4 linked regions of the Anolis sagrei genome follow. The protein of the gene in region 2 interacts with the protein of the main gene of each other region in a pairwise test. Links are inferred from orthologs where the notes say so. Each region holds a gene or a part of one and is shown on either strand. Other genes may lie near its edges. The genes, in order: DUSP19, ALAS1, zinc finger matrin-type protein 1 and CDC73.

Region 1 (7,331 bases), on a different chromosome or scaffold from region 2:
AAAAATGATTGAAATTATTTATTCAATAACTCAATCTTGCTTACTAAGTGAATCAGTAGAAAAAGAGACTCAGTTTATTTCTATTGAAATATGAAATGTAAATGCATGCAGCTGATGAAAATTCTTTGCACAGTAATTTTCATGGGGGAATTAATAAAACGTATCCCCACATACAAAGGTGCTAAATGCATGAAATAAAAGAAACTAAATTAATAATGAACCTTTGAAATATGCCTTTAGCATGACTTAGTGCACAGAAGTGTCTTATATCCAGTTTGGTTCCATTTGTGTATTTGATGAACCACTTTTCTCCAGGGTGATGAGCAAAGACTACTGAGTACTTTAGTGGATTGATCAATCAATCAATCATTTACAGATCCCCATAACAATACCATTATCTCTATCCCATCTTTTACCAATTTATTAACAGGAATAAAATGGGGGACAGTACAGAAAGGTTTACCAAAATCAAGATTGAACAACAATGTTTTTTTTTTGATCTACTAAGATACAATCTCTGTATGTTAGTAGTTGATTACATAACAAATTAGAAGGGCCATCAAAAACACTTCGAGGAGATTTAAAAGTTAACACTTAAATAGCAAATAGAGGTTTCGAAATAGTTGTGGCGTCCTAGCAGAACAGGGCTCAGAGAGAAGTAACACAATTTTTCTTCCAGGGTTATAAATGTCATTTCCTAATTGGTTCTATCATAAAAACACAGAAAATGTTTATTAAATTGCAAAACCTTTGTTTTTGTGGGACATCCTGCAGCACATTTTGCTATAGTTTTTCAATGAATATCTCATAGAGTCTCAACCTATTCAACATAGTTTGTGGCAGCCACAAAAACAAAGTTTCTGGAATATGACAACTACTTTCAATGTAAGTACCACACAATTAAACAGGAAATAATAAATTCAAACCATAACATATTCTTTTTCAAATTTTGTTACATAGTATATTTTTTTCTGTTCTGGGACAAATCTACTGAATTAAAAATAGCAGAACTGTTCACTCAAGGAAAGTCATGGTATGAGCTTATGCTGAAGATTCAAGTTGGCAGCAGAACCTAGGATAAAGCCATTTTAGGAAGCAGTCTCGTTTAGTAGATGCTTAGAGCCATGTGGGGTCAGACGGTCTACACACAGCAACATGCATTCCATGGCCTCTTGCTCCCATTATAATATTTCATCTAGAAAACAGTCTTGGGATCGAATATATAAATACACCCACCTACTCCAGATAGAGCTTTCCCCCAAACCTGGTCATGGGGGTTCTGTGTTTCAAATGTGGTCCAGGCCCATTGTCGGTAGGGGTCACAGTGCTGTGTCTTTATGCAGGGTAAACTACAACTTCCATCCTGTTGAGTCAGTCCCCCAACCCCCTCTAGTCTGTTCAGCTGCTGATCAATTCTTCCGTGCTGTGCGCTATAGGAAAGACAGCTCGGAAGCTCCAACGCTCGGCAGCCATGATTTTAACAGGAGCGGCGCACAGGGAGCATACAACCCCCCCTGTTGCGCCAACTCCACTGGCTACTGATCTGCTACCGGGCTGAATTCAAAGTGCTGGCGTTGGCCTTTAAAGCCCTATACGGCTCCGGCCCAAGCTACCTCTCTGACCGCATCTCTGCCTATGAACCCACCAGGACTTTGAGATCTTCCGGGGAGACCCTGCTCTCGATCCCGCCTGCTTCTCAAGCTTGGCTGGCGGGGACGAGAGATATGGCCTTCTCGGTGGTGGCTCCTCGGCTGTGGAACGCCCTTCCTACGGACATTAGACTAGCACCATCTCTAATGGTATTCCGCAAAAAGGTGAAGACCTGGATGTTTGTGCAGGTGTTATCGAGCTCTTTTAGGGGGCTCCCCCAGGAAGGAGAGCCCAAGGACCGCACCAAAAAGGGTCCTGGAAACCTTGGTGAGATCTTTCCGGAAGCCAATCCAAGAGCGCAAAAGTTATCTAAAAGCAATCAGCTCACCAGAGGCGAAAGGAGACCAGGATCGAGGCGTTTATTTGCGATTCAGCTGAATGGATGATTTACAGGAATCGTTCCACTGCAAAGCATGGTGGGGTACAGTGATGCAGGCATATTTATACAATTTTTGAAAACCCAGAGTTCAACCCTTCTGCCCCGGCTCCTCAGGTGTTCCCCGCTGTGATTGGGTGATGGGCGGACACCTGGGAAGCAGCCCTCCCGCCCCTGGCGCCTCTGTACCAATCAGGAAACTCCAGTGGTCTGTAGGATCCAATGGGGAGACCTCTGTCACATGGTGGCGACAGCCAATCAGGAGAAATGGGGGCGGGATGAGGGAGCACAAAGGAATCTGGGAAAGGAATCTGCAGACAAAGGAATGCCATGTGCTCAGCGAAACAAAGGAAAAATGTCTCCAGATGTTTGACAAACAAAGGCTTTCCTGTCCTTGATGAGTCTGGCAGGGAATTTGAATAGGCTAGATCGATATCGGACCACCCGGAGGGTCAACAATATCTGGGTGAATTAATCAGTCTCTTTTTCCGAAGCTCTGCTGACCCTTGTTCCTTCGCTGGCCATGCTCCGAGGGCTAGGGTTGGGGCCAGCAGCATTGTCCATGCAAAATGAGTCAATCAATGGGTGATTTGGGGGAAAGAGGCTTGGGCTCTGTCCCCAGGCAGTTCCTGGTCACGCTGGTTTTCTTGTGGGGCGAGGGTCAAGGGGGTGAGGATACAGAGGAGTTCATAGGGGTTACATATTTCATATTCATAAACCATAGGCATCACCAGTATACAGGCATTCCATATATCACCACCCACCACCCATCCCAACCCCAATCCACAGTAATAAGAAAATATTTTATTCATTTCATAAAAAGAGAGAGGAAAGAACTAGAAGTCCCAAAGTCTGGACGGAAGGGTTTTGGGTGCAGGGGCCAGTCCATGCATCAGGCTGGCCACCAGAAGATCAGTCCAAGGTCCGGGTTGGTCAACAGAAGATTGGCTCCTTCTAGGAACAGGAGCTGGAGCTGAAGGGGGAGCTGGGTTGGGTAGTAGCAGAGTCCATAGTCCAGTGCACAAGCCAGAGAATTCACAAAGAGGAAACAGGAACCCAGTTATGTGTGCTGGGTCAGGAAGCAACAGAATCCATTGTCCGGCCCTTGGCGAACTACAAATACTTGAGGGGGGGGGGGGTAAAGATGCTCCGCATCAATGGCGTTTGAGTAATTTAGTGCAATCTGGTAATGGAACATAGGAATGGAACAATGGACGACGAACCTGGACTACGCTTAGATGATGAGAAGATTGGGTACGGTTGTTTTTTGTAATAACTGTGCATTGTAATTGCTTATTGGTAATTTATGGATAATGCGTTAAGTCAATTGTTATATGTTGTATGGAACCACTGCTGTTTCTACTGTTTTTACTGTTTGTGAACCGCTGTGAGTCGCCTTCGGGCTTGAGATACAGCGGTATATAAGCAAAGTAAATAAATAAATAAATAATAAAAGCAAAAAATACCCAAAAATATACAATGCATGTGCATACCGCACACACACACACACACATATATGGCCACACACATATATTAACACACACAACACATATATGCAGACTGGGCCACAGCAAAGCATGGCAGGGGACAGCTAGTTTAAAATAATTTTGTGCATTAAACAATATTTGTCAACACTGAATGATCATAAATTAAAGTTGGTGCTATTTCAACCCTGGAGTATTTCAGAATTTCAGATGAGATGCTCAACATCAATATTAGGTGTAGCCCCTAGGAATGCATAGAAATAAACATACTTTCCTTGTGGAGCCACATGTGGTATGGGAGTGCATCTACAGTGTATAATTAATGCAGTTTGACACCGCTTTAATTGCCATGGCTTGGTGTGATGGGAGCTAAAAGACTATGTAACAAAATTTGATCAATCTTTTGTTCCTGGTTTGAAAGTGTCATTTCCTGATTAATTGTGCGGTACTTCTCTGCAAAACTACAACTCCCAGGATCCCCTAGCATTGAGTTCTGGCTGTTCAAAGTGGAGTCATATTCATCACACAGTGCAAAGGCGACGGAGGCGCGTGCCTGTTACTAGACACCCCACTTAGGCTGAAAGAAAAGAAGCCCTCTGACCAATCGGAAGCCGGCTTTCTGTAGCCAATCCAGAGCTGACTTTCACAAGAAACACAAGGCTGTTCTGTTTGCCTGCCTGTGCCTGTTGCTTGCAGATGGTTAGGCATCTCTGGGGAAGAGCAAGGAAGGAAGAAGGGTCGGTCGTGGGCACTTGCCTTTGCTTTGTGTTCGCCTCCCCTGGCCCATGTGATGCACTCGCTCACCCAGGAGATCCGATCCTTCTCCAAGACTAACCTGCGCAGGCAATGCACCCGGGTGACCACTTTGACCGGGAGGAGGCTCATCGAGACCTGGAAGGATGCTCGGCTGCAGGCGGTGGAGGTGGCCGACGGCAAGGACGGCGGGGGGCCCGCCTGCGGATACGTGCAGGACCTCAGCCTGGACCTCCAAGTCGGGCTCCTCAAGCCCTGGCTGCTTCTAGGTGGGTGGGAGGCGTTGCATTGGGATGGCCACCCGCTGCTTTAATCAGGAGGCATGGAAAGCCTTGGGTGCAGCTCCTTTGGAAAATGAACGCGTACCACTTTAACAGCCAAGGACGAATGCTATGGAAGCCTGGGAGCTGGAGGGCCTGGGTTCCATAGCATTCATCCAAGGCAGTTAAAGTGGTATGCATTCATTCTGCAGAGGAGATCACAGCTTTCTAAACTTAGTGTGTTTGAACACACTGTGCAGGCGTATCACCCAAATGTGATGAGCAACCTTATACACTCCCACATATCCTGATTATCACATCATCTGCTTCGAACTGGATTATATGAGTCTACACTGCCCTAGAATCCAATTCAAAGCAGATAATCAGGATTGATGTATTGTCGAAGGCTTTCATGGCCGGAATCACTAGGTTTTTGTGAGTTATTGTAGGTTTTTTCGGGCTATATGGCCATATTCTAGAGGTATTCTCTCCTGACGTTTCACCTGCATCTATGGCAAGCATCCTCAGAGGTTGTGAGGTCCTCTGTTATGAGTTTTCCAGGCTGTATGGCTATGTTCCTGAAGCATTCTTTCCTGACGTTTTGCCTGCATCTATGGAAGGCATCTTCAGAGGTTGTGAGGTCTCACAACTTCTGAAGATGCCTGCCATAGAAGCAGGTGAAACGTCAGGAGAGAATGCTTCTGGAACATCGCCATACAGCCCGGAAAACTCACAATGATCTGGATTGATTTTATATGGTAGTATAGAAGTTTATGTGAAATAAAATTATATATATATATTCACACAAATACACAAAAGGTTTTCATGAGATATGTTGTATGCTCATACATTTTGTTATTACAGTTTATGTATGTCTCCGTATCTCTTATAAGGGGTTAGATTTTTAATTGATTTTTATTAAAGTGGAAAAAGGGTTTCTTATACATGTAAAGTGGGGGAATAATAATGTTAAAAAAAGTAGGAAAATAGAAAAATAAAGGGAAGTTGTAAGAAGAGAAAAAATGTAAAAAATGTTCTATCACTTTTATCTACTCTTTGATGGTCAGATATTTCTAGTCTTCCTTTCCTTTCATCTTCTTATTTTACAGTCCCCAGTCTGTCTGTTGAATGTTTTATAAGGGGTTAGATTAACCTCCAGTTTTGCTAGTAAAACTGCCCTATATCTCAGGATGTAATCCCAGATTATTTGCTTTGAACTGGATAATATGAGTTTCCACTGCCATATAATATGGGATATGCAGGTAATCTGGGTTCAGAATCTGGAATATAAGGACAGTGCAGAAAGAGACTGTATTACTGTGTAACAGAATGATGCATGTCTAAAAAGAATATCACCAATATGAAATGCTTGGAAAGGTCTGAGATAGATTCACTCCTTTGACCCATTCTTTGTTGGCTCCATATTTTTTCATACTCAGTATGTTGTTGTTTTTGCATGTTTCTTTGGTGTCCAGAGTGCTCCTGATGTTAATTTGTGTCAAGTTGGTTTCAAATTACGGCAACCCTTTGAGTATGCATCTTAAGACAGTAGCATCTTAAGACAATAACTTCAAGAACAAAATTGGTAGCCAGTTGGTACAAAGTTCCCTTTGCATATTGATATTCCAGACTGTCACAGCTGTGTCTTTGGACTCTTCTACACTACCATATAAAATCCAGATTATCTGCTTTGATAATTATCGGGCAGTGTAGAAGGGGCCTTTGAAGGTGACTATGAATAAAAGTCCTCTGAAAGATTTTCTGTACAGTTGATCCTCTGTTTCCATAGAATCTGCCTCCACAAATACAATAATCCACAGGTTTAAAATATTCTTTAAATCGAAACACAAATGTTGTTTTTGCTCTTTTCTGTACGGGGCACCATTAAACTATGCTTGCGCATCTATGGATTTTGATATCAAATTGCAACAGATACCAAGGGCCAACTTTATGTAATTCTTTGGTGACTCCTTGGATAATACAAGCTTCTCTCATCACAGGATCACAAGATGCAGCTCATGATCTGGACACAATGAAAAAATACAAGGTGAGGACATGTTTGGGTTTGTTTGATTTTTTTTTACAAAAGTGGTTGCATATTTAAAGCCTGAAAGAATCACATAACGGTCTATAATAAAATTTGAAAAATTCTGTTCCTGGTTTGAAAGTGTTGCTTCCTGTTTAATTGCGAAGTATGTACTTTGAAAGTAATTGTTTCACTCCAGAAACTTCGTTTTGTGGCTGCCACAAACTTACGTTGAATTGGTCGAGACTCAATGAGGATATTAATTGGAAAACAAGAGCAAAATACGCTATAGGGTATCCTGTAAAAATATTTTTCAGCGTAATAAACTTTTTCCATGTTTTTATGATAGAGCCAATTAGGAAATGACATTTATAACCCAGGAACTTGTTACATAGTGTAATTTTTCATCTTCATATTGATTCTTCAATTTCAAATATGAAAACATAAGGACAATTTTAAAGCTGTCTATTGAAAACTATTTTTTTCTCATTCCTGTCCTTGGTTTCATGGCATGAAGGTGAAGGAAGTGTTTGTACCAGATCCCTTTGCTTGCAGTTTGACGTTCATAGCCATGTCAGAAGTTGAAGATTAAAAAGCTGTCTTGGTTTATTATCTGTCTAATGCATTTCAGGTCACCCATGTTCTAAATGTAGCCTATGGAGTTGAAAATCCCTTCCCTGAGGACTTTACATACAAGAGCATCCCTATCTTGGACCTTCCTGAGACTGACATTATCTCCTATTTCCCTGAATGTTTTGAATTTATTGAGGAAGTTAAATTAA
Region 2 (7,978 bases):
CACGAAATTTACTTTACTAGGATGAACAAAGCTATTGTAGACACCCACACTTAACCAACAGGAATATGGAAATCAGGGCTTTCCCATGGTTCTTGTGCTCTGAGTCATCCTATTTTCACTGCTCATATGTTTTCATTACTGCAAATGTTGTAACTTGGAGCTGTTGAATCACAGCTTGGATGCCGTAGGAAGATTTCACACGCAAAGACCAGGAACAGCCCAACCCCGTCTCCAGCTAGTTTCCTGCCTCCTTTCCCTGGCTATAAAAAAAGCCTCCTTCATCTGAACCATATCTCAGTTTGAACAGAAGACAGTAAGGAAAAGGTTACTGCCCTTTTATAACTATGCAAAACACTGTGTACACATAGATGTATTGTATCATGTATTCTGCCTTTTTGTTCTCTTCCTTCCAAGCTTGAGGATCCAGTAATTCTGATTTGAACCACTCACATACCCTGTTCCACAAGTCCAAAACAGCTATATTTTGTTTGCTTTGGTTCTTCTTCTTAGACTTCTCTTTTCATTGAATACTTTACTGTGAGAAGCAGAAAAAAAAAATCAGCATCCAGAACTGGCTTGTTCTCCAACAGTGCTCCACTCATCCCCTTCCTAAGAGTATAAGAGAAGAGCAGATTAAACACAGGACCCTGTTCTAAATTGAATAACTCTTAAGTGATCACAATCCCCAGCTGTTGGAATTCAGTGAAAACAAAAAGGATTAAGATCAGCTTTTCATGGTTTCTGCGGGAAGAGTTTCTCAACTGACGCAGATGGCTCATCTCACTGTTTGAACTTGCTGGTGGATGGAGAACACATTCAAGATCATTGTAGCTGATACTTTTAAGTTTGGTCCTGAACAAATAAAGAAAGGCAACTCTAAAACAGAGGTCCTCAAACCTTTAAAGCCAAGGGCCGGTTCAAAGTCACTCAGACTGTTGGGGGACCATACTATAGTTTGAAAAAACCAACACAAATTTCTATACACACTGCACATATATTATTTGTAGTGCTAACAAACCCCAAAACAACAGTACAACATTTAAAATGAAGAAAAAATTTAACCAACATAAACTTACTAGTATTTCAGTAGGAAGTGTGGGCCTGCTTTGGCTGATGGAGATCGTCAAGATACAGTAATTAGAATTGTTGTGTGTCTTCAAATCATTTCAGACTTAGGGCAACACTTTGTCTAAATTTTAGGGCAGGGGGTGGATATATTATCTTGGAGGGCTGCATCTGACCCACGGACCTTAGTTCGAGGAGCCCTGATCTAAAATGTGGAGTACCTAAGCCTTTGAAAGGGCCAAGACTTTAAACCGTGATCAAAGAAAAGTACAGAGAGGAGTAACAGACACATGTAGAGATGTGCTTGCACCCCACAACTCAGGAGGCAAGCTTTGGACTTATCTATGGGTGCATCTAAAACAGATATGGTTTGGCCATTCACTGCCATGGCTCTATGCAGTGGAACCATGGGAGTTGTAGTTTTACAAAGCCTTTTTCCCTAACTGCTAAAGAGAGTTGGTGCCTCAACAAACTACAGCTCCCAGGATTCCACAGCATCAAACCACAGAAGTTAAGGTTGTGTCAAATTGCATTCATTCTACAGGTTTTTTTTGTGTCAGGAGTGACTTGAGAAATTGCAAGACGCTTCTGGTGTGAGAGAATTGGCCATCTGCAAGGACGTTGCCCAGGGGATGTCCGGATGTTTTGCTATCCTTGTGGGAGGCTTCTCTCATGTCCTCGCAAGGGGAGATGAAGTTGACAGAGGAAGCTCATCCACGCTCTCCCTGAATTCGAACGTCCGACCTGTCGGTCTTGAGTCTTGCCGGCATAAGGGTTTAACCCATTGCACCACCGGTTCAGGCATGGGGAAACTTGGCCCCTCCAGGTGTTTTGGACTTCAACTCCCACAATTCCTAACAACTCGAGGGCCCAAGTTTCCCCGTGCCTGGTGTAGATACAACCTACATAAACTTTCAGACCAGTATTCCCTCATGGATAATGAATGGTGCCAGGTCCTAACCTTTGAACTAGCCGTTCCATAATCAGGAAAGACACACACTGAGCACATGCAGAAAGCCTTGCCCTCCTTGTTGGGTAAACACAGACAACTCTTTTGAAATGTGAGTTTCCAAAGTATCGAAGGTACTCTGATATTTACAAACAGATAGGCACTCCTTCGCAGTACTAGTAGTTACACTTTTGTTAAAAACTGGGCTGCCCTTGAGTCAAACAGTGTTGTGGGTAAACAGTTTAGAGGGGTCACCCAGCCAAAGCCTATATCCCTCGAAGGCAAATCCCTATATCCCCTTCTGAACAAATCTGGGCAATAAAGCCCCATAAGAAGTTCACCAGAGGGTCACCATAAGCGGAAATGGCTTGGAGGCACACAATAAAAACATTCACATGATACTAGAATCATAAAACTAGGCGTGGAAATAAGGCAGCAACCCCATGCACTTTACTACCTCTTCTGTGCCCACAATCTTCCCCATTCTTTAGCGCTTGAGGAAAGTTACTTTTTGGCCTACAAATAAGCACAATTGATGTGCCAATCATTTCATGTAGTACTTTTATGTTGCATTTCTTTGTATGAAAACAGCCTATGATCCAAAGCATTAATAAACAGCAGCTACATATACACTATGGCGGCCGCAAGATATAATGCCCACCATTTGATATCCAAGTTCCTGCAATGGTAGCACACTGATGCAGTCATCAGCCTCTGACAATAGGTATATTTACAGCTGGTAGGCTGTTCGGAATTGTGGGAGTTGAAGTTCAAAACACATAGAGGGCTGAAGTTTGCCCATGCCTGATCTACATTGTAGGATTAATGCAGTTTGACACTATTTCAATTATCATGGTTGCATGCTCCAAGTCGCTTCTGATGTGAGAGAATCAGCTGTCCACGAAGACGTTGCCCATGGGATGCCTGGATGTGTTATGATCCTGCGAGGAGGCTTCTCTCATGTCACCACTGGAGCATTGCAGCACATCAAAATACCTGGGAGTCACTCTGGATTATGCTCTGACTTATAAGAAACACTGCCTGAATATCAATCAAAAAGTGGGCGCTAGAAATAACATCGTATGAAAGCAGACTGGCACAACCTGGGGATCACAACCAGACACAGTGAAAACATCTGCCCATGTGCTTTGCTTCTCTGCTGCTGAGTATGCATGCCCAGTGTGAAATACATTGCACCATGTTAAAACAGTTGATGTGGCTCTTAATGAGACATGCTGCATCATCACAGGATGTCTACGCCCCACACCACTGGAGAAATTATACCGTTTAAGCACCTGATATCTGTCAAGAAGGAGCAGCCAATAATGAAAGGACCAAGACATTGACATCTCTGGCCTATCCTTTGTTCGGATATCAGCCAGCACGCCAATGTCTTAAATCAAGAAATAGTTTTCAACAGAGATACTCGCAGGAACACCTCAGCAAGCAAGAGTCCAAATGTGGCAGGCTAAAACCCGGAACCTCAAGCTATGGCTGATACTGAATGAGAGACACCCCACTGGGCACACAGAAGACTGGGCGACTTGGAAGGCACTGAACAGGCTGCCCTCTGGCACCACGAGATGCAGAGCCAACCTTAAGAAATGGGGCTACAAAGTGGAATCCACAACATGTGAGTGTGGAGAAGAGCAAACCACAGACCACTTACTACAGTACAGCCTGTGCCCTGCCACATGCACAATGGAGGACCTTCTTAGAGCAACACCAGCTTCTGGTCAAAGGAAATTTAGCATAATGCCAAGTTTTTAACTTTGTGTTTTAAATACATTTTAACTGTACACTCAATCCGCTTTTGAAATGATAAATAAGTAAATAAATGTCATGGCTCAAGCCCCATCTACACAGCCATACAATCCGGATTAAGGTAAAGGTTTTCCCCTGACATGAAGTCCAGTCGTGTCCAACTCAGGGGTGTGGTGCTCATCTCCATTTGTAAGCCGAAGAGCCGGCTTTGTCCGTAGGCCAGGTCATGTGGCCGGCATGGAGTGCCATTACCTTCCTGCCGGAGCAGTACCTATTAATCTACTCACATTTGCATGTTTTCGAACTGCTAAATTGGCAGGAGCTGGGTCTGTCAGCGGAAGCTCACACCGCTCCCTGGAATCAAACCTGCAATCTTTCGATCAACAAGCTCAGCAGCTCAGCGCTTTAACCCACTGCGCCTCCGGGTCCTCCATAATCCAGATTATTAAAGAAAATAATCCAGTTCATCTGCTTTGAACTGCATTATGTGTCTACACTGCCAGATAATCCAGTTCAAAGCAGATAGTCTGGATTTTTATATGCCAGTGTAGAAGGGGCCTCAGTGCTCTGGAATCGTGGGATCTATAGTTTCACAAGACGCCCTTCCACACAGCCCTATATCCCAGAATATGAAGGCAGAAAATCCCACAATATCTGCTTTGAACTGGGTTCCTGCCTTGATATTCTGGGATAGAGGGCTGTGTGGAAGGGCCCCTTGTGAAACTATAGATCCCACGATTTCAGAGCGCTGAGGCTCCTTCTACACTGACATATACAATCCATCTTTGAACTGGATTATCTGACAGTGTAAAGTTCATATAACCTTGGTCTTTAGCCTCCTCGGCCTAGTGCTTCACTGGGAGTTCCAGTGGGACCCAACTGTCTCAATTCTATAGCGTGACTTGAAGCTGTAGCTTTCCCAATCCCCACCCAGCTCCCTTCCCTTTTTTCCCTCCTCCTCCCCCCCCCCCCCCCCGACTCCGCTTTGGTACCGCCCGGCCTCCCTCTCCTTTCCTTCCCAACCAGGTCAGGAAGAAACTACGAGAAGCGGAAGGAGGGGGTGGAGGAGGAGAAAGTAGGGAGGGATTAAAGCTGGCCTCTTAGGATCGCCTTGACAATTGGGCGCATGCGCGGCTGTGGGGTGGGGGGGGTGGCGGCATTTGCGCATGCGCCCTGTCCCCTCGCGATTGGCTATATAGGGAAGCCAAGCTGCCGGGGCCGGTTGTAGAGAAGAGAGGAAGAGAGATCGCAGTTGTGAGGGTCGTTCATTGGAAAGGTAAGAGGGGGGAAGGAGTGCGCGTGCGCATGAGAGAAAATGAGCGCGAGGGGGGAACGAAGTGAAAGGGAAGGAAGGAGGGAGGGGAGCGCGCGCGCGCGGGGCCTAGTCGGTTTGGCTTTCCTCTCCCTCGGGCGGAGCTGTTCGTGGGGGCGGCCTCTTTCCCCTTCCATCTCTCCTTGACCTCGTCCCATTCCGGGCGCTGGACAGCTCCCAGGAGATGCCGTGGTTGAGGGGAGCCCTCTCTGCCCGGATTTGGGGGGTCTTTGAGTCTGCCTTGCCCTCTAAACTCCGAGGAAGAAGGTGGCCAAGGGAGGCCCTGTCACTCAAGAAGGGCAACCTCTTCCTCTCCCTTTCCTCTTGCCCTGCTTAGACTGTGTCCCTGTGTGAGGGTCAAGGGCAGGCCTGGGCAAACTTGGGCCCTCCAGGTGTTTTAGACTTCAACTCCCACAATTCCTAACAGCCTCAGGCCCCTTACTTTCCCCCCTCAGCCGCTTAAGTTTGCGTAAAGAAGAGGGAATGGGGCCTATCCCGGGCTCTTGGCAGAAAAGGATGCCTCTTACACTATTCTATTGTTGTAGACATTTATTATTATGGCTTATTATAATATTATAGTAATTATTACTATTACAATTAAATACAGGCAATCCCCAAGTTGCGAGCAAGACAGGTCCTTGTAGGTTTGTTCTTAAGTTGTATTAGTATGTATATTTTAAAAGTGTAACTCAATCTCTCTTAACAGAGCCCCCGGTGGCACAGTGGGTTAAACCCCTGTGCCGGCAGGACTGAAGACCGACAGGTCGCAGGTTCGAATCTGGGGAGAGGCGGATGAGCTCCTTCTATCAGCTCCAGCTCCTCATACGGGGACATAAGAGAAGCTTCCCACAAGGATGATAAAAACATCAAATCATCTGGGCGTCCCCTAGGCAACGTCCTTGCAGACGGCCAATTCTCTCACACCAGAAGCGACTTGCAGTTTTTCAAGTCGCTCCTGACAGGACAAGAAAAAATATCTCTGTTTCTCTCTCTCTCTCTCTCACTCACTCACTCTCACTATATATATATATGCTATGGATCACAAGGGGAAAGGTTGGCACCCCTGTGGTTGGGTTTTTTAAAAATTATTATTTTTGTTGTCTGTGCCTCTGTTCAGAAGATTTCACCTCACTTACTGTTCCTGTGATAATTCGATTTTGAAAAAAATGGCTTGTTGTGGAAACAAGGATTGATGAGAAAGCTTCAGTTGAGACACCTTTTCCCCATGATAACTCTTTCAGGACTGAATTTCCCTTCTGAGGGGTAGATTTCTTTCACTTACTGTTGTCTCATCCCAGTTTTTAATTATGAGTCGATTGTAAGTTAGATGTTTTTAATTTGGGGACTGCTTTATTATAATATCATATATTAATATTAATATTTGTTCGTGTCAGGAGCAACTTGAGAAACAGCAAATCGCTTCTGGTGTGAGAGAATTGGCCGTCTGCAAGGATGTTGCCAAGGGGACGCGCAGGTTTTTAAATGTTTTACCATCCTGTGGGAGGCTCCTTATGTCCCCGCATAGGGAGCTGGAGCTGACAGAGGGAACTCATCCACGCTCTCCCCAGATTTGAACCACTGACTGTTTAACTCATTTTACTACAGGGGGCTCCATAATAATAATAATAATAATAATAATAATATATTATGGAAGTAACACAGTTTGACCCGACTTTCACTGCCATGGAATCGAGGGAGCTATAGTTTGATGAGGCACCATCACTGTGGCAGGGAAGGTTAAAGACCATCAAGGGCTGCTGTGATTTTGTTTTGTGGTTTTATGTGTTTTTATGGTTTTAATCTGGATTGTTTTAATATTAATGTTGTTTAATACTGTTTTAATATTTGTATATTTTTGAAGTTGTATTGAAATGCTTTTAGTTGTGAACCGCTTTGATTCTTTGTATAGAGAGAAAAAGCAGGATATAAACATAGTAATAATAATAATAATAATAATAACGATCTTGTAAAATTATAGCTGTCAGGATGCCATAGCATTAAAGCATTAGACCATGGCAGTTGAAGTGGGGTCAAGCTCCATTAATTCTACAGTGACTTTGACCCCGAAGCCTGAGAGGGGAGGCTCAGGAATGAGTCCCATCTCATTCTGCTCGGGGGTGGGGGGAGGTAAAAGAGTGCATCTACACTGTAGAATGAATGGAGTTTGATCCCACTTACATTGCCATGGTTCAACAGTATAGACTCCTGGGCACTGTAGTTTAACAAGATCTTCTTTGCCCAAAAGTATTGGTGCCTCACCAGACTGCCATGATTCCATAGCATTGAATCATGAAAGTTGAGGGTATCAAACTCTAGTATTGTACAGTATAGATGCACCCATATTCTTGTATTGGGTCCCAATACAAGGGAAAAGGATAAAGGGAGGCCCTTTTCTCAGTCATTCCTAGTGAGCTGAGAGGGGAAGGGAAGGGCGTTGGTGTTGATCTCCAAAAAGAAATTAAAGTTGTATTCGGAAATGGTTGCTTGGTCTAAACCAAGATGAGGTTTCAGGATCCCATCTCTGTGTTTGTACTGGACCTAGATGAGAATCTGGGACAATCTTTCCCTCCACAAATCCTTTGCTTCACATTTTTTCCCTCACCTGCCTCTTGGTGATTTGAAAGCAGCAATCGAGTTCCTTGGATTTGCACATGAATACAGTTTATTGTGGCATAATATTCTGTTTATGAAAGCCTGCATGGAATATTAACTCCAGGCTTTGGTATAACTAAATACGTCAATGCAGGATCATGCTTCTGATATCTATCCACAAAATATTATGGTCTAAGAAATTGATTAGTTTCAAGACTCCAGAAGAAACCTAGTATAATTGTGTAATTCTGGAACAGACCGGAGTAAATGCCTTTTTAGAATTGGTGACTCAAGAC
Region 3 (7,981 bases), on a different chromosome or scaffold from region 2:
GTAGTGAGGTTTGTTAATCCCTTCACACAAACTAACTCAATGCAGTTCCTACCACAAATAAATGTTTTCTTGATTTCAAACTCACGACTTCGTTGTACTTTATTATACTTTAAGGTGTATGCGATTTTGAGTGTTTGCCAGAAATGTGGGACACAAAATTGAGAATAACTTGAACTTGAAAGGAAAAAAACAAACAGACTCCCCTTCTCCCCTGTGATGTTAGAGCTCCTACAGGGCTAAATTCAATGTTAATTCTAACTAGAACTGGCCCACAGGAATCCATCGAACCTTCGCTACTTTTGACCACGGGAAGAAATCTAGAACTGCTCCACATTTTGTTGGATCACAATTCTTAGCATATTTGTAATGCATTTTAGCTACTCAGTTTTTTTATTACGTTGGTAAATGTGCATAATGTAACATATTTAAGTTTTTACTTTTTGGTTATTGTTGTTAGTCATTCTAAGTTTATATTGTTTTATTTATTGTGTTGATTTCTTGTTTATATGTTTTATTATGACACTGAATGTTTGCCACTTTTACTGGAAACTTCCCCGAGTCCCCTTGGGGAGATAGGGTGGGTTACAAATAGTCTTATTATTATATTAGCCGTCCCCTACCATGCGTTGCTGTAGCCTAGTCTGTGTATATGTGTGTTGTGTGTGTATATTTGTGTGTTTTTGTGTATATGTGTTTTTGTGCATGTGTTGTAATGTATTTTTAAAAACTTTTTGGCTTTTTAAGTTCCTTCTGATGTGTTTTTCAGTGTGTTTATGAGTGATGGTCACTCGTTGGCCTGATAGGTGTATTGTGTCCAAATTTGGTGTCAATTTGTCCAGTGGTTTTTGAGTTATGTAAATCCACAAACGAACATTACATTTTTATTTATATAGATCAGGGGTCCTCAAACGTTTTAAACAGAGGGCCTGGTCACAGTCCTTCAAACTGTTGGAGGGCCGGATTATAATTTGAAAAAAAGCAAACACCCATGAATGAATTCCTATGGACACTCCACATATCTTATTTGTAGTGCAAAAAAAACACTTAAATGCAATACAATAATTAAAATGAAGAACAACTTTAACAAATATAAACATTATTATTTCAATGGGAAGTGTCGGCCTGCTTTTGGCTGATGAGATAGGATTGATGTTGTTGCTGTGTGCTTTCAAGTTGTTTCAGATTTAGGTTGACCCTGAGTGAGGGCCGGGTAATTGACCTTGGAGGACCGTATCCGGCACCCGGGCCTTAGTTTGAGGACCCTTGGTGTACTGTGTCCAGATTTGGTGTCAATTTGTCCAGTGGTTTTTGAGTTATGTAAATTCCATGAACGAACATTACATTTTATTTATATAGATTATTATTGGCTTCCACTGTTAGCTACGAACCCACTGCCAAGACCTTACACTTGGAAAGTCATCCTACTCAAACACAAGTGATTGCTGATGATGACACACACCCTGAAGGATAGAACATTTTCAACAAGGGTGCAAATGAAGCACACTTTTTTTTTAGTGCTGACTGTGTTTGCGTTTGAATAGGTGCATATTTGTGTATTTTAAATTGTATACAAATACAAAGATAGAACATTTTCAACAAGGGTGTAAATGAAGCACACTTTTTTTTAGTGCTGATTGTGTTTGCGTTTGAATAGGTGCATATTTGTGTATTTTAAACTGTATACAAATACAAAGATAGAACATTTTCAACAAGGGTGTAAATGAAGCACACTTTTTTTTAGTGCTGATTGTGTTTGAATAGGTGCATATTTGTGCATTTTAAATTGTATACAAAGATAGAATATTTTCAACAAGGGTGTAAATGAAGGACACTTTTTAGTGCTGACTGTGTTTACGTTTGAATAGGTGCATATTTGTGTATTTTAAATTGTATACAAATACAAAGACAGAACATTTTCAGCAAGGGTGTAAATGAAGCACACTTTTTTAGTTCTGATTGTGTTTGTTTGAATAGGTGGATATTTGTGTATTTTAAATTGTATACAAATACAATGATAGAACATTTTCAACAAGGGTGTAAATGAAGCACACTTTTTTTAGTGCTGATTGTGTTTGAATAGGTGCATATTTGTGTATTTTAGATTGTATACAAATACAAAGATCGAACGTTTTCAACAAGGGTGTAAACGAAGCACACTTTTTTTTAGTGCTGATTGTGTTTGAATAGGTGCATATTTATTTTAAATTGTATGCAAATACTTTTATGTCAAGCTGTTTTGAGTTTGGGGAGATAAAGTGGGTATAAATATTATAACAATAATCGACGTTGGTGTGTGCTGAACCACCAAAAAGCAAAAATGTCCCTCACTGACCCACACAGATCAGCAAATTTGGGAGTATTTCAGGATTCTGTTTATGGGATGCACCCCCTAGACAAGTGGTTCTCAACCTGTGAATCCCTAGATGTTTTGGCCTACAACTCCCAGAAATCTCAGCCAGTTTACTAGTTGTTAGGATCTCTGGGAGTTGAAGGCCAAAACATCTGGGGACCCACAGGTTGAGAACCACTGCCCTAGATTCAAAGTGGGTCTGACCAAGTCATGGGCAAACTGCGGCCCTCCAGGTGTTTTGGACTTCAACTCCTACAATTCCTAACAAGTTATTAGGAATTGTAGGAGTTGAAGTCCAAAACACCTGGAGGAACACATGCTTGCCCCTTCTTTATCATCCTCGCCTGGACCTAGGTGTGTGCGGCCTAGTGCTGGAGGAGCAGGCGCTCTACCTGAGCAGGAGTCACTCCTCACTGTTGCCCCTCCGCGTCACTTCCGCCCTGGGCCCTCAGCAGCGGAGGGCTCTCCTTCTGCCTGGCCGGGCTCCTTCCTTTTCCCCCTCCTCACTCACTCACTCACCTGCTCTTTGGCCGCGGGGGGGTGTCGGCCCCGCGGGGGAAGGGGCGCCCCCTCCCCCCTCTGCCCTCTCCCGCCCCGCAGCAAAGGCAGGCGCAGCAGCAGGTGCCGCCGCCATGACTGCGGGAGCGGAGCGGAGCAGGCCCCGCCCACTACGCGCGAGAGGCCAGAGAGGCGACGCAGGAACCCGGATGTAGGAAGTCGCAGCCGCTCTCCCTCGGGTCTACTTTCAAACCGTCTCCTCCCCACTTTTCTGATTGGTGCGTGATTTCCAGCAGTCACCGCGCGTTGTCCAATCAGCGGTGTCTCCTCGCTCTGTGCTACCGCCTCGGATTCTATTTGCGGCAAGGCTCAGTTTGCTTTGGGAGGCTTTGCTTTGGGAGTGGGATCTGGGAAAGGTCTGGAGAATTGGATTGCCTTTTCTTGTAACGGGGGTACGAGAGCTGGAATTGAAATGGAGTTCCAATGTATGCCTGGGAGTCCCCGGTGGCTCAGTGGGTTAAACCCCTTTGCTGGCAGGACTGAAGACCGACAGGTCACAGATTCGAATTCGGGGAGAGGTGGATGAGCTCCCTCTGTCAGCTCCAGCTCCCCAAGCGGGAACATGAGAGAAGCCTCCCACAAGGATAATAAAAACATCAAATCATCCGGGCGTCCCCTGGGCAACATCCTTGCAGATGGCCAATTCTCTCACACCAGAAGCGACTTGCAGTTTCTTAAGTCTCTCCTGACACACAAAAAAATGTATGCCTCACTGTACCGTTTTATGGGGGTTCTGTGTGGGGGTTTGGCCCAATTCTGTCATTGGTGAGGTTCAGAATATTCTTTGATTGTAGGTGAACTATACATCCTAGCAACTACAACTCCCAAATGTCAAGATTTTATTTTCCCCAAATTCTACCAGTGTTCACATTTGGGCATATTGAGCATTCGTGTAGAGTTTGGACCAAATCCATCATTTGAGAACACAGAAATGCTGGACCACACCAACAACCACCATGTCAGACTACACAGAGAAGCCATTGAAATCCACAAGCATGTGGACAATTTCAACAGAAAGGAAGAGACCATGAAAATGAACAAAATCTGGCTACCAGTATTAAAAAACTAAAATTATAACAGCTAAACAACAGAGAGGAAAAAACCAGGCACAGATTAACACCTCCCAGCAACAGATTTTCCCAGGCGCAGGCAGGCCTTCAAATGCTAATGAAGGTGATCAGCTGAACATTCACGCCTAACTGCAGCAGGGAAGAGCTCCTTGCCCCACCCCAGCCATTCCACAGATATATATAAACTCCTTGTCCTAATTCCAACAGACCTCTACCTCTGAGGATGCTTGCCATAGATGCAGGCGAAACGTCAGGAGAAATGCCTCTAGAACATGGCTCTATAGCCCGAAAAAACCCACAAGAACCTAGTAAATCCATCATTGTTTGAGTCCACAGTGCTGTCTGGATGTAGGTGAACTACAACTCCAAAGCCAAAGGACACTGCCCACCAAACCCTTCCAGTATTTTCTGTTGGTCATGGGAAAACTGTGTGCCAAGTTTGGCCCAATTCTATCGTTGGTGGGATTCAGAATGCTCTTTGATCCCACCTGCATCACAAGCATGATTGGTGGGGACAAGGGACAGGGCCTTCTCTGTGGTGGCCCCTCGACTCTGGAATTCACTCCCCAAGGATATCAGGCATGCCCCGACGCTAGCAGTCTTTAGGAGGAGTTTGAAAACGTGGCTGTTCCAGTGTGCCTTCCCAGAATAGGAAACCCCAAAGCACTTTGTCCCAAATGTACGTTACTAGAAATCTAGGATTGTCTGCACGCCAAATCTTCTCCAAAAATACCTATCCATTTTACCCGGTCATGCCCAGTTTTTAAATTTTTTAATCCATTACAACTGGCCCTGACACTGATTTTAAATTGCGTTGTGCTGTTTAACGTCTATTGCTTGAGTTATTTATTGATGTATTATTGTTGTGTTGTTTATTGATGTATTGGGTCTCGGCCTCTTGTACGCTGCATTGAGTCCTTCGGGAGATGGTAGTGGATTATAAATAAAGGATTATTATTATTATTATTATTATTATTATTATTATTATTATTAATAGGTAAAGTATAAATTCCAGCAACTACAACTTCCAAATGACAAAATCATACATTGGGTTGTTAGTTGTATTGGGCCCAAATTTGGTGTGATTTTGTTCATTGGTTCTTTTTTTTAAGGTACTCATTATGCACAGAGCATTTTTATATATATAGATATAGATAATAATAATAATAATAATAATAATGATCGGCACACTGGGTGCAGTGCCTCAAGACCTTGGCCTGCACTTAAATACAATTGTCGCTGACAAAACTACCACCTGCCAGCTGCAGAAGCCACCTTACTGGGATTTGCATGCATTATTTATTTATTTAGTTATTTCAGATATTTCTATCCCGCCCTTCTCCCCACAAGGGGGGCTCAGAGCGGCCTTACATAAGCATCAAAACATGCTAGCAGCATAAATACCATACAAATACAATCTATATAAATAAAAATGTAATGTTCGTTTGTGGTATTCACAGAACTCGAAAACCACTGGGGGAATTGACACCAAATTTGGACAGCATACACCCAACAACCCAATGTATGTCCTTCACTCAAAAAAATTTGATTTTGTCATTTGGGAGTTGTAGTTGCTGGGATTTATAGCTCACTTACAATCAAAGAGCCTTCTGAACTACACCAATTATGGCATTGAACCAAACGTGGCATACAGGACTCCCATGACCAACAGAAAACAGAGATAAAAGGAGCAGATTATTTGCAAGGGAGAACCCATAGAGAAGCGGGGCAGTAAACAGGCATTCGTACCCTCACCCTTTCACACCTCAATGATCACCATGTGAATTGTGAATGTCAGTCAATGAGTGGAGCAGGCACCAAGGGAGTCCCATCCCTTGGGGATACAACACCCTCCATAAACAATGGTTCTCAGCCCAGAGAACGGGGCAGAGAACCATACTGTGAACCGCCCTGTGTCTCCTTCGGAGTTGGGAAAGGTCGTATACAAACACCGCCAATCTATATAAATAAAAATGTAATGTTCGTTTGTGGGATTAAAAGAACTCAAAAACCACTGGACGAATTGACACCAAATTTGGACACAAGATACCTAACAACCTGATGTATGTCCTTCACTCAAAAATTGATTTTGTCATTTGGGAGTTGTAGTTGATGGGGTTTATAGTTCACCTATAATCAAAGATGTGAGAGCTGGACCTTAGGGAAGGCTGAGCGAAGGAAGATCGATGCTTTTGAACTGTGGTGTTGGAGGAAAGTTCTGAGAGTGCCTTGGACTGCGAGAAGATCCAACCAGTCCATCCTCCAGGAAATAAAGCCCGACTGCTCACTAGAGGGAAAGATACTAGAGACAAAGTTGAAGTACTTTGGCCACATCATGAGGAGACAGGAAAGCCTAGAGAAGACAATTATGCTGGGGAAAGTGGAAGGCAAAAGGAAGAGGGGCCGACCAAGGGCAAGATGGATGGATGGCATCCTTGAAGTGACTGGACTGACCTTGAGGGAGCTGTGGGTGGTAACGGCCGACAGGGAGCTCTGGCGTGAGCTGGTCCATGAGGTCACAAAGAGTCGGAGACGACTGAACGAATGAACAACAACAACAACATAATCAAAGAGCATTCTGAACTCCACCAATCATGGCATTGAACCAAACGTGGCATACGGGACTCCCATGACCAACAGAAAACACTAGAAGCGTTTGGTAGGCATTGACCTTGAGTTTGGGAGTTGCAGTTCACCTACATCCAGAGAGCACTGTAGACTCAAACAATGAAGGTTCTGGACCAAACTTGGCACAAATATTCCATATGCCCAAATATGAACACAGATGAAGATTGTGGAAAATAGACCTTGACATTTGGGAGTTGTAGTTACTGGGATTTATAGTTCACCTACAGTCAAAGAGCGTTCTGAACCCCACCATCTACAGAATTGGGGCAAACTTCCCACGTTAATCCATGACTAACAGAAAACACTTAAGGACATCCAGCCCACTCCCTTCACCAGGGCAAGAAAACATAATCAAAGCCCTTCTCACAAAGAGCCATCCAGCCATAGATATGGATAGATATATATGATTCACACAGAGATATAGTATCATAGATTTGAAAGGGACCCCTAAAGAAGGACAATGATATGTTGCATGTTCCAGAGGAGGCAACCCAGACAATCACCACATCAACACTGACAAAGAAACAGCAAGAAATACTGTTTACCCACAAGCAGAAAGAAATTACATATATTAGAAGCCAACACTTTCTCATTACTTTATTTTCCAGATCACCAGACTGGGCCACAGCAACACATGGCAGGGGACGGCTAGTCTATATAAATAGAAATGTAATGTTCGTTTGTGGGATTAGCATAACTCAGAAACCACTGGATGAATTGACATGAAATTTTGAGGCAATACACCTAACAGTTCAACAATTCTTCATTACCCCTCAAAATACAAAAAACCCTCAGCAGAACTGACTTAAAACCCCCCCAGATACACCATACACATACACATGCACATACATATATATATACTCAAGCACACACAGATATGCACACACATAAATCTACACACAAATATATACATGCGCACATAAATATACACATGCACACATACATACACATATATAAACACAAATATGCATAAAGACAAGCATACACATATACACAATATACATATGCACTTATAAACACAGAAATATATACACACATATATACACATCTACACACACACATATGCACACACAGATATACACCCACATACCCCCCCCCACACACATACATATCGATCTATATCTATATATATAGATATATATACACACACAAACACACATATATACAAAGATACACAAATATAAACACACATATAAACACATATACACACACACACAAAACACATATATACAGACTGGGCCACAGCAACGTGTGGCAGGGGATGGCTAGTTAACAACAAAATCGTTTTAAAACATTATATAACATCACCAATAAATTTAACAATAAATTAACGTGCCAGTTAAACCAAAAACCAAGCCGGGAGAATCCATGTTGC
Region 4 (7,739 bases), on a different chromosome or scaffold from region 2:
TGAATTCTGGGTTCTTTTCTAAAGCAATAGGGCAAATCAGATGAATTAGTCACCACTATCTTTTACAGGATGAAAGTTAATCTAATTGCAGCTGACTTTGATACATAAATGCCAGTATGCAAAGAGGTCTTGCAGCACCTTGGAGATTAAGTGAGAGAAAGATGTTGGTACCATAAGTTTTTGTAGACAACCTCTACTTCTTCAGATGCACAGAACTAGAATGTTTCCATCATCATTCCAAGACAGAAATTAATAAGAAATATAATTTACTAAATAAGTTCAGCCACAAGGAATAAGATGCTATATACAGTCTCAGGAAAATTCTTAACAGTGTCATCAAAGAGGCTGACACAGGAGGAGCTGTAGTAATCATAGGGAAACTGGACTACATGGGAAGGCTGAGTGGCAACTGTCAAATTCATGCATCTGTGGAAGTAGATTTCAAACATGAAAGCTTATACTACCAACACACTTCTCTCAGTTAAGTCTCTGAGATACCACAAGATCCCCTTTGTATATTGATATTCCAAATGTGCACGCCTATGCCTTTAAAGAAACAAAAACCATTAGGAATTATTCCCAGATAAGTGTACAGTGAGTTGCTAGATCAGCTCAGGCGTAGCCTATCCAGTTCAACCAGGGTTTCCCTTTGCATACTGTATGAAACAACCCTGGGAATTTATGCCTAAATGTTTGGGTTAGGGCAGACACCACCCTTTACATTTTATGATCAAGATGGAAAGATTGCTTCAAGCAAAGGCAATAATAAGGAAGAGGAAACGATATAATTATGTTACATTATTCATCTCATCACAACAGCTCTTCAATGAGAAAGAAGAGTAGCTAATTGTTTTAGTAATAAAAACACATGTTTTGGTTACATGGACCTGCTTTTGTCTGATGAGATAGGATTGTTGTTGTTGTTGTGTGCTTTCAAGTCATTTCAGACCTAGGTTGACCCTGAGCGAGGGCCGGGTAAATGACCCTGGAAGGCCGCATCTGGCCCCCGGGCCATAGTTTGAGGACCCCTGTTCTAGAGGCATTCTCTCCTGACCTTTCACCTGCATCTATGGCAAGCATCCTCAGAGGTGAGGTCTGCTGGAATTGGGAAAAAGGGGGTTTATATATCTGTGGAATGACCAGGGTGAGACAAAGGGCTTTTGTAAGTTGGGCTAGGTGTGAATCTTTCAACTGACCACCTTGATTAGCATACAATGGGCTGACAGTGCCAGGAGCAAACTCTTCTTGAAAGGTGATTAGATGTCCCTGCCTGTTTTTCTCTCTGCTGTTTTTGCTGTTGCAATTTTAGAATTTTTTGATGATGAACTGAACCACCTCAACTGGGCTCTACAGGCCAATGGATATTCCACCTCAGACATCAGAAGAGCTGCAAGACCAAGAACAAGCCATGAGAGTCAAGATGAAGATCCACCCAGAGGAAAAGTGTTCCTGCCATACATCAAGGGAACCACTGACCGCATAGGGAAGCTGATGAGGAAACACAACATACAAACAATCTACAAACCCACCAAGAAAATCCAACAAATGCTACGTTCAGCAAAGGACAAGAGGGATCCTCTCACCTCTGCAGGAGTCTACCGTATACCATGCAGCTGTGGACAAGTCTACATAGGGACCACCAAACGCAGCATTGCCCAAACACGAATCCAGGAACATGAAAGGCACTGCAGACTACTCCAACCAGAGAAATCAGCCATAGCAGAGCACCTGATGAACCAACCTGGACACAGCATTTTATTTGAGAACACAAAAATGCTGGACCACTCTCACAACCACCATGTCAGACTACACAGAGAAGCCATTGAAATCCACAAACATGTGGACAATTTCAACAGAAAGGAAGAAACCATGAAAATGAACAAAATCTGGCTACCAGTATTAAAAAATTCTAAAATTGCAACAGCAAAAACAGCAGATAGAAAAACAGGCAGGGACATCTAATCACCTTTCAAGAAGAGTTTGCTCCAGGCACAGTCAGCCCATTGTATGCTAATCAAGGTGGTCAGTTGAAAGATCCACACCTAGCCCAACTTACAAAAGCCCTTTGTCTCACCCTGGTCATTCCACAGATATATAAACCCCCCTTTTCCCCAGCTCCAGCAGACCTCACCTCTGAGGATGCTTGCCATAGATGCAGGGACATCTAATTACCTCTCAACAAAAGTTTGCTCCAGGCACAATCAGCCCATTGTATGCTAATCAAGGTGGTCAGTTGAAACATTCACACCTAGGTTCTTGTGGGTTTTTTCGGGCTATATGGCCACGGTCTAGAGGTATTCTCTCCTGACGTTTCGCCTGCATCTATGGCAAGCATCCTCAGAGGTAGTGAGGATGCAGGCGAAACGTCAGGAAAAATGCCTCTAGAACATGGCCATATAGCCCAAAAAAACCCACAAGAACTTAGTGATTCCAGCCATGTAAGCCTTCGACAATACATTCACATCTAGCTCCAGAAGACAAGAGTCCTTTGTCTCACCCTGGTCATTCCACAGATATATAAACCCCCTTTTTTCCCAATTCCAGCAGACCTCACCTCTGAGGATGCTTGCCATAGATGCAGGCGAAACGTCAGGAGAAATGCCTCTAGAACATGGCCATATTGCCCGAAAAAACCCACAAGAACTGAGTAAATAAATATATTGTTGTTGATGATGGTGATGATGATGAGGCCCCCTGCAGTCTTTGGCAGAGAAAGTTAGGGAGGTTCAACTCTATAGCTTCTAAAGTGGTCTGGAACTGCATCCATCCCGCAGTGTGGCAGTCCCTTTTCTCCACTGAAGGCACCTGGCGAGGCACCCTCCCCTTCCTCCTCCTCCTGGCCCGCCCCTCCCTCCCTCCGACTCACCCCCAGATGACATAGTTGGTCTTGACGTTCTTGGGCCAGGAGAACTCGCCGAAGATCACCTCGTCCCCTTTGACCACGATCTCCTTCTTCTGCGTGTTGTACTGGCGCAGCACGCTCAGGACGTCCGCCATGGCTTCCGCCTGCCGCCTTCACCCCTTCCTTCCTTCCTTCTTTCAGTCAGTCAGTCAGTCAGTCAGTCGCGCTCTCTCTCGCTCGCGACTGCCGAGAGCGCGCTCCTTCCTTCAAGGCTCCCCTCACGCGCCCCCGGCCTTCGCTGACAGGGAAACAAACAAACCGACCGAGCGCGAGCCACCGCGCGAGCTGCCTCACGGACCGCCCGACTGGCCCAGCCACCGTCCTGCGCGTGCGCAGAGAAAGCAACAGAGGAAAGAGGACCCCGCAGGGCTGCCCTCGCTGACGCCTGCGCGGAAAGAGGACCCAATCGCCGCCCAGCTTTCTTGGGGTCCTTTTCGAGGCTTGTCCATGGCGCTGAGAGCGCTGCTGAGGCGGGAGCTGCGTCGCTGCTCTTGGCTCAGGTGGGTGGCATCCCGTCGGGCCTTTGCCTTCTCAAGTAGGCCTTTTGCCTTCACTCTGTCTTACCTCTGTTGACAGGCCGTTTTGGGTACGCATGCGCATTGTTGCCGCGCTCAGCTTGGGTCTCTCGGAAGACTCTTCCACACAGGCCTATATCCCAAAATATAAAGGCAGAAAATCCCACATTATCAGAGTGTGGACTCGGATAACCCAGTTCAAAGCAGATTTGGGGCTGTGTGGATGGGCCCTCGCTTACATCGCAGGAGAACACTGTGTTCCTAACTCGTCCTGTAGTGCAAGCAAAGAAAAAGGTACGATTTGGCAGTGAAGTCTCTTTGAAGGTGTAACTTCAGTTCCAATCTGGAGGGAATAGAGTGCCTCTGAGCATGTACAAGGTGAGGCAGCATAACTTCCTTTTTTCCAAACTTATCAAGGCAGAAACTCCCACATTATCTGCTTTGAACTGGAATATATGGCAGTGTGGACGCAGTTAACCCAGTTCAAAGCAGATAATGTGTTTAAGGAACTCCACTGGCTCCCGTTTATATTCCGAGCCCAATTTAAGGTGCAGGTGCTTACCTACAAAGCCCTGAACGGTTTGGGACCAGCCTACCTGCGTGACCGCATTTCCATCTACGAACCCTCGCGTTCTCTTCGGTCATCTGGAGAGGCCCTGCTCGTGATCCCACCGGCATCGCAAGCGCGCTTGGTGGGGACGTGGGACAGGGCCTTTTCCGTAGTGGCCCCCCAACTCTGGAACACCCTCCCCAAAGACCTTAGACAGGCCCCTTCATTGGCTATCTTCAGAAAGAACTTAAAAACCTGACTTTTCCGATGCACCTTCACAGATTAGGAAATCTCCACTACCGAGTCCCACAAGCACTTTACCACAACCAATGATTGCTGCACACCGCACATTGCACTTGCCCTAGAAACCCTTTATACACCTCCTGTCAAATCAGCACTTTTAATCCTTGTACCCACCTTTTGGCCCGGCCCAGTTTTATTGTGTTTTAATGTACTGTGCCTGTTGTTTACTTTGCTTTATTTTGTTTTAATTGTTTGATTTGCTTGATTGTATTGTTATGTTGTGTTGTTGAGGCCTCGGCCTGTGTAAGCCGCATCGAATCCTTTGGGAGATGCTAGCGGGGTACAAATAAAGTTTAATAATAATAATAATAATAATCTGCCTTTATATTCTGGGCTCTATGGCTTTCTAGAAGTGCCCTAAGGCTGGATCTGCACTGCCTTAAATCCCAGTATCTGATCCCTGATCATCTACTTATCCCAGATTTTCTGGCAGTGTGTATTTAGGGCCCTTCCACATAGCCCTATATCCCAGAATATCAAGGCATATATCCCACAATATCTGTTTTGAACTGGGTTATCAGAGGGCCCTTCCACACAGCCCTATATCCCAGAATATCAAGACAAGAAATCCCACATTATCTGAGTGTGGACTCTGATAACCCAGTTCAAAGCAGATAATGGGATATAGGGCTGTGTGGAAGGGCCCAGAGTCCACACTTCCGTGTATCTCGGTTCAAAACTGAAAATGTGGGATTTTATTCAGCTGTGTGGAAGGGGCCTCTGCTTTGAACTGGAATATATGGCATTGCGGACTCAGATAACTCAGTTTGAAGCAGATATTGTGGGATTTTTCTCCTTGATATTCTGGGTCGCCCTTCTTTGATTAGCGACGATTTGATTTGATAGCACACTCAAATCTTTGGTTTTTGTGGTCCTCTGTTAGGAGTTTCGGGACCCAGTGGGAGCACAGTTTCCTAAACTTTAGGTGTTCAGAAACAATGTTGTAAAGCACTGATCTCGACACGTCAGGAATTCGTTTGAGAGACCTGTTATTGTGAAGCGCCTGTTCTCACGAATCCTCGCTTCAACTGAAGCCACCAAATCATCTGTAATCAAAGAAGGGCGACCAGAGCGGTCCTCATCATGGACGTTGTCACGGCCATCTTTGAATTGTCGTACCCACTTACGCACTTTGCTTTCACTCATAACAGTATCACCGTACACTTCACAAATCTGTTGATGAATTTCTGCAGCAGGCAAGTTCCTTGCTGACAAAAACCGTATCGCTGAGCGAACCTCACATGCGGAGGGTGAGTTGATAGTCTTAAACATTTTTAAAGCACAGAACAGAACTGTACAGGTTAGCTACAGAGCGGAAACTGAGCACAGTTGTTCCCGAGGCATGCCAGTACACGACGCACGTGCTCGTTGCGATATGCGCGTGAACTACTAGTGTTTACAACAAAACGGACCTTACTTTAAAAATACCCCTCGTATATAGAATCAGACCCCATGTGATCTTAAAGGCTAAACAGGATTATCCCTGGTTAATACTTGGATCGGTAACAGCGCAGTGGTTCTCAACCTGGGGTCCCCAGATGTTTTTGGCCTACAACTCCCAGAAATCCCAGCCAGTTTACCAGCTGTTAGGATTTCTGGGAGTTGAAGGCCAAAAACATCTGGGGACCCCAGGTTGAGAACCACTGAGCTAATGAATCCCAAGTGCTCTGAGCCATATTTCTGAAGGAGGAACTGGCAAAAATACCTCCTTGTGTAAGAAAGCTCTATAAAAGTCATGGAGTCACCGTAACTTGACAGGCAACACATATTGTATGATGTTAAATATTAATATTAAAATCACAGTTCAGAAACCTGTGTGATAACTAAAGATAATTGCTGATATCGTGGACACATAACAACATAAGTTTTATCTACCTTGAGAGAAATATCTGTTCCAATCTGGAAAAAAGTAAAGAAGAATGTAAATACATAATATATCTGCAAGCATTTGGAAATTTTCCGTGAGTTATGATAAAAAAAATTCCATGTATTTTGGGGAAAAACATTACACCTTATTGGTTCAAGCTCTCCCAAGATCACATGGGAAGTTGTGTTCACAAAAAGGAATTTTCCACGATCTTCCCTCAAAACTGCTGTAAGGGGAATAGTTAGGCATACCACAGTGAAGGCTCTGCAGTACATTTGAGCAGGGAATTCAAGAGTGAGTTTGTCTGTTTGAAAGGTTGGACTACCCTGCCAGAAAAAAACAGCTATAATAGCAGGTAAGTCCAAATCATGTTAGCTTTCAAATTTTGATGTGTTGCTTAAGTCAGTTCATACTCTGGAGAGATCAAGTAGCTCATATCCATGTTGCTAAATTTGGGAGGCAAGAATTACTTCTAAACTCTGGAAATCATCTTATTGAATACTAGCCTTTCACTGCCACGCATTGCTATGGCCCAGACTGGTGATCTGGAAAATAAAGTAATGAGAAAGTGTTGGTTACTAATATATGTGATGTCTTTATGCTTGTGGGTAAACAGTATTTCTTATTGTTTCTTTGTCAGTGTTGATGTGGAGATTTTCTAGTTTGCCTACTCTGGGATATGTAACATATAATTGTCCTTCTTTAGGGGTCCCTTTCAAATCTATGATACTGTGTGTGTGAATCATATCTATCTATATCTATGGCTGGCTGGCTCTTTGTCAGGAGGGCTTTGATTACGTTTTCTTGCCCTGGTGAAGGGAATTGGACTGGATGGCCTTAAATATTTTCTGTTGGTCATGGGGATTCTGTGTGGGAAGTTTGCCCAAATTCTGTCATTCATGGGGTTCAGACTGCTATTGATTATAGGTGAACTATAAATCCCAACAACTACAACTCCCAAATGACAAAATCATTTTTTTAGAGTGATGATGACTCCTTGTGTTGTTAGGTGTATGCTATTCAATTCATCCAATGGTTTTTGAGTTACGTTAATCCCACAAACAAACATTACATTTTTATTTATATAGAAGTAGCGGTAGCCTCAAGTTGCAACTAACCTAACTCCTTGTTCTCCAAATATAGCTTAAAATTGTGTATGTTCAGTTTATCTTTCAATAAATTCCTGCTGGAAATACAGGTGCATAATTATACTGTAATCTAACATGCTCTCATTTAGGTTACATATTTACACTTCGGTAGGCTGAAATCCTGTAGCAGTTGCCCAAAAGTAAGCCCCGTTGAACGTATTGGATCTTTGAATACTATAGGATTCCCTTATTTATGTATTTATTTATTTATTAGAGATGGGAAACATTTGGTTGCCAGATTTAATTCACCAACAGCTCCTTTCAGCCCTAGACATGACAAAGGATGGTGGAAACATGGAGTCCTAACGACAATTGGAGGAATGCATTATGAGGTTGCTTTAAAAATGAATGAAAAAATACAATTGCTGGTATATGCTTTTTTCCTATTCTTTTCTGGTTGAACATTATACCCATTCTGTATATGACTACCGAGTCCTGGAGCTCAATAGGTTTA

Evidence for each region.
Region 1: the proteins of ALAS1 (region 2) and DUSP19 interact in a two-hybrid assay, tested with the Homo sapiens proteins (3 studies listed by BioGRID and IntAct). The two-hybrid records come from large-scale screens. The link is inferred for Anolis sagrei from reciprocal best matches to the Homo sapiens genes ALAS1 and DUSP19.
Region 3: the proteins of ALAS1 (region 2) and zinc finger matrin-type protein 1 interact in a two-hybrid assay, tested with the Homo sapiens proteins (2 studies listed by BioGRID). The two-hybrid records come from large-scale screens. The link is inferred for Anolis sagrei from reciprocal best matches to the Homo sapiens genes ALAS1 and ZMAT1.
Region 4: the proteins of ALAS1 (region 2) and CDC73 interact in a two-hybrid assay, tested with the Homo sapiens proteins (3 studies listed by BioGRID and IntAct). The two-hybrid records come from large-scale screens. The link is inferred for Anolis sagrei from reciprocal best matches to the Homo sapiens genes ALAS1 and CDC73.

Annotation. Positions count from the first base shown.
Region 1 is NC_090021.1:187,170,106-187,177,436, reverse strand, and holds the start of DUSP19 (dual specificity protein phosphatase 19), read left to right. Parts: upstream 1-4,107; 5' UTR 4,108-4,300; coding exon 4,301-4,532; intron 4,533-6,523; coding exon 6,524-6,570; intron 6,571-7,180; coding exon 7,181-7,331.
Region 2 is NC_090022.1:69,142,947-69,150,924, forward strand, and holds the start of ALAS1 (5-aminolevulinate synthase, non-specific, mitochondrial), read left to right. Parts: upstream 1-4,932; 5' UTR 4,933-5,054; intron 5,055-7,978.
Region 3 is NC_090026.1:52,619,495-52,627,475, forward strand, and holds the start of zinc finger matrin-type protein 1, read right to left. Parts: upstream 3,033-7,981; 5' UTR 2,985-3,032; coding exon 2,870-2,984; intron 1-2,869.
Region 4 is NC_090024.1:116,057,667-116,065,405, forward strand, and holds the start of CDC73 (parafibromin), read right to left. Parts: upstream 3,235-7,739; 5' UTR 2,998-3,234; coding exon 2,867-2,997; intron 1-2,866.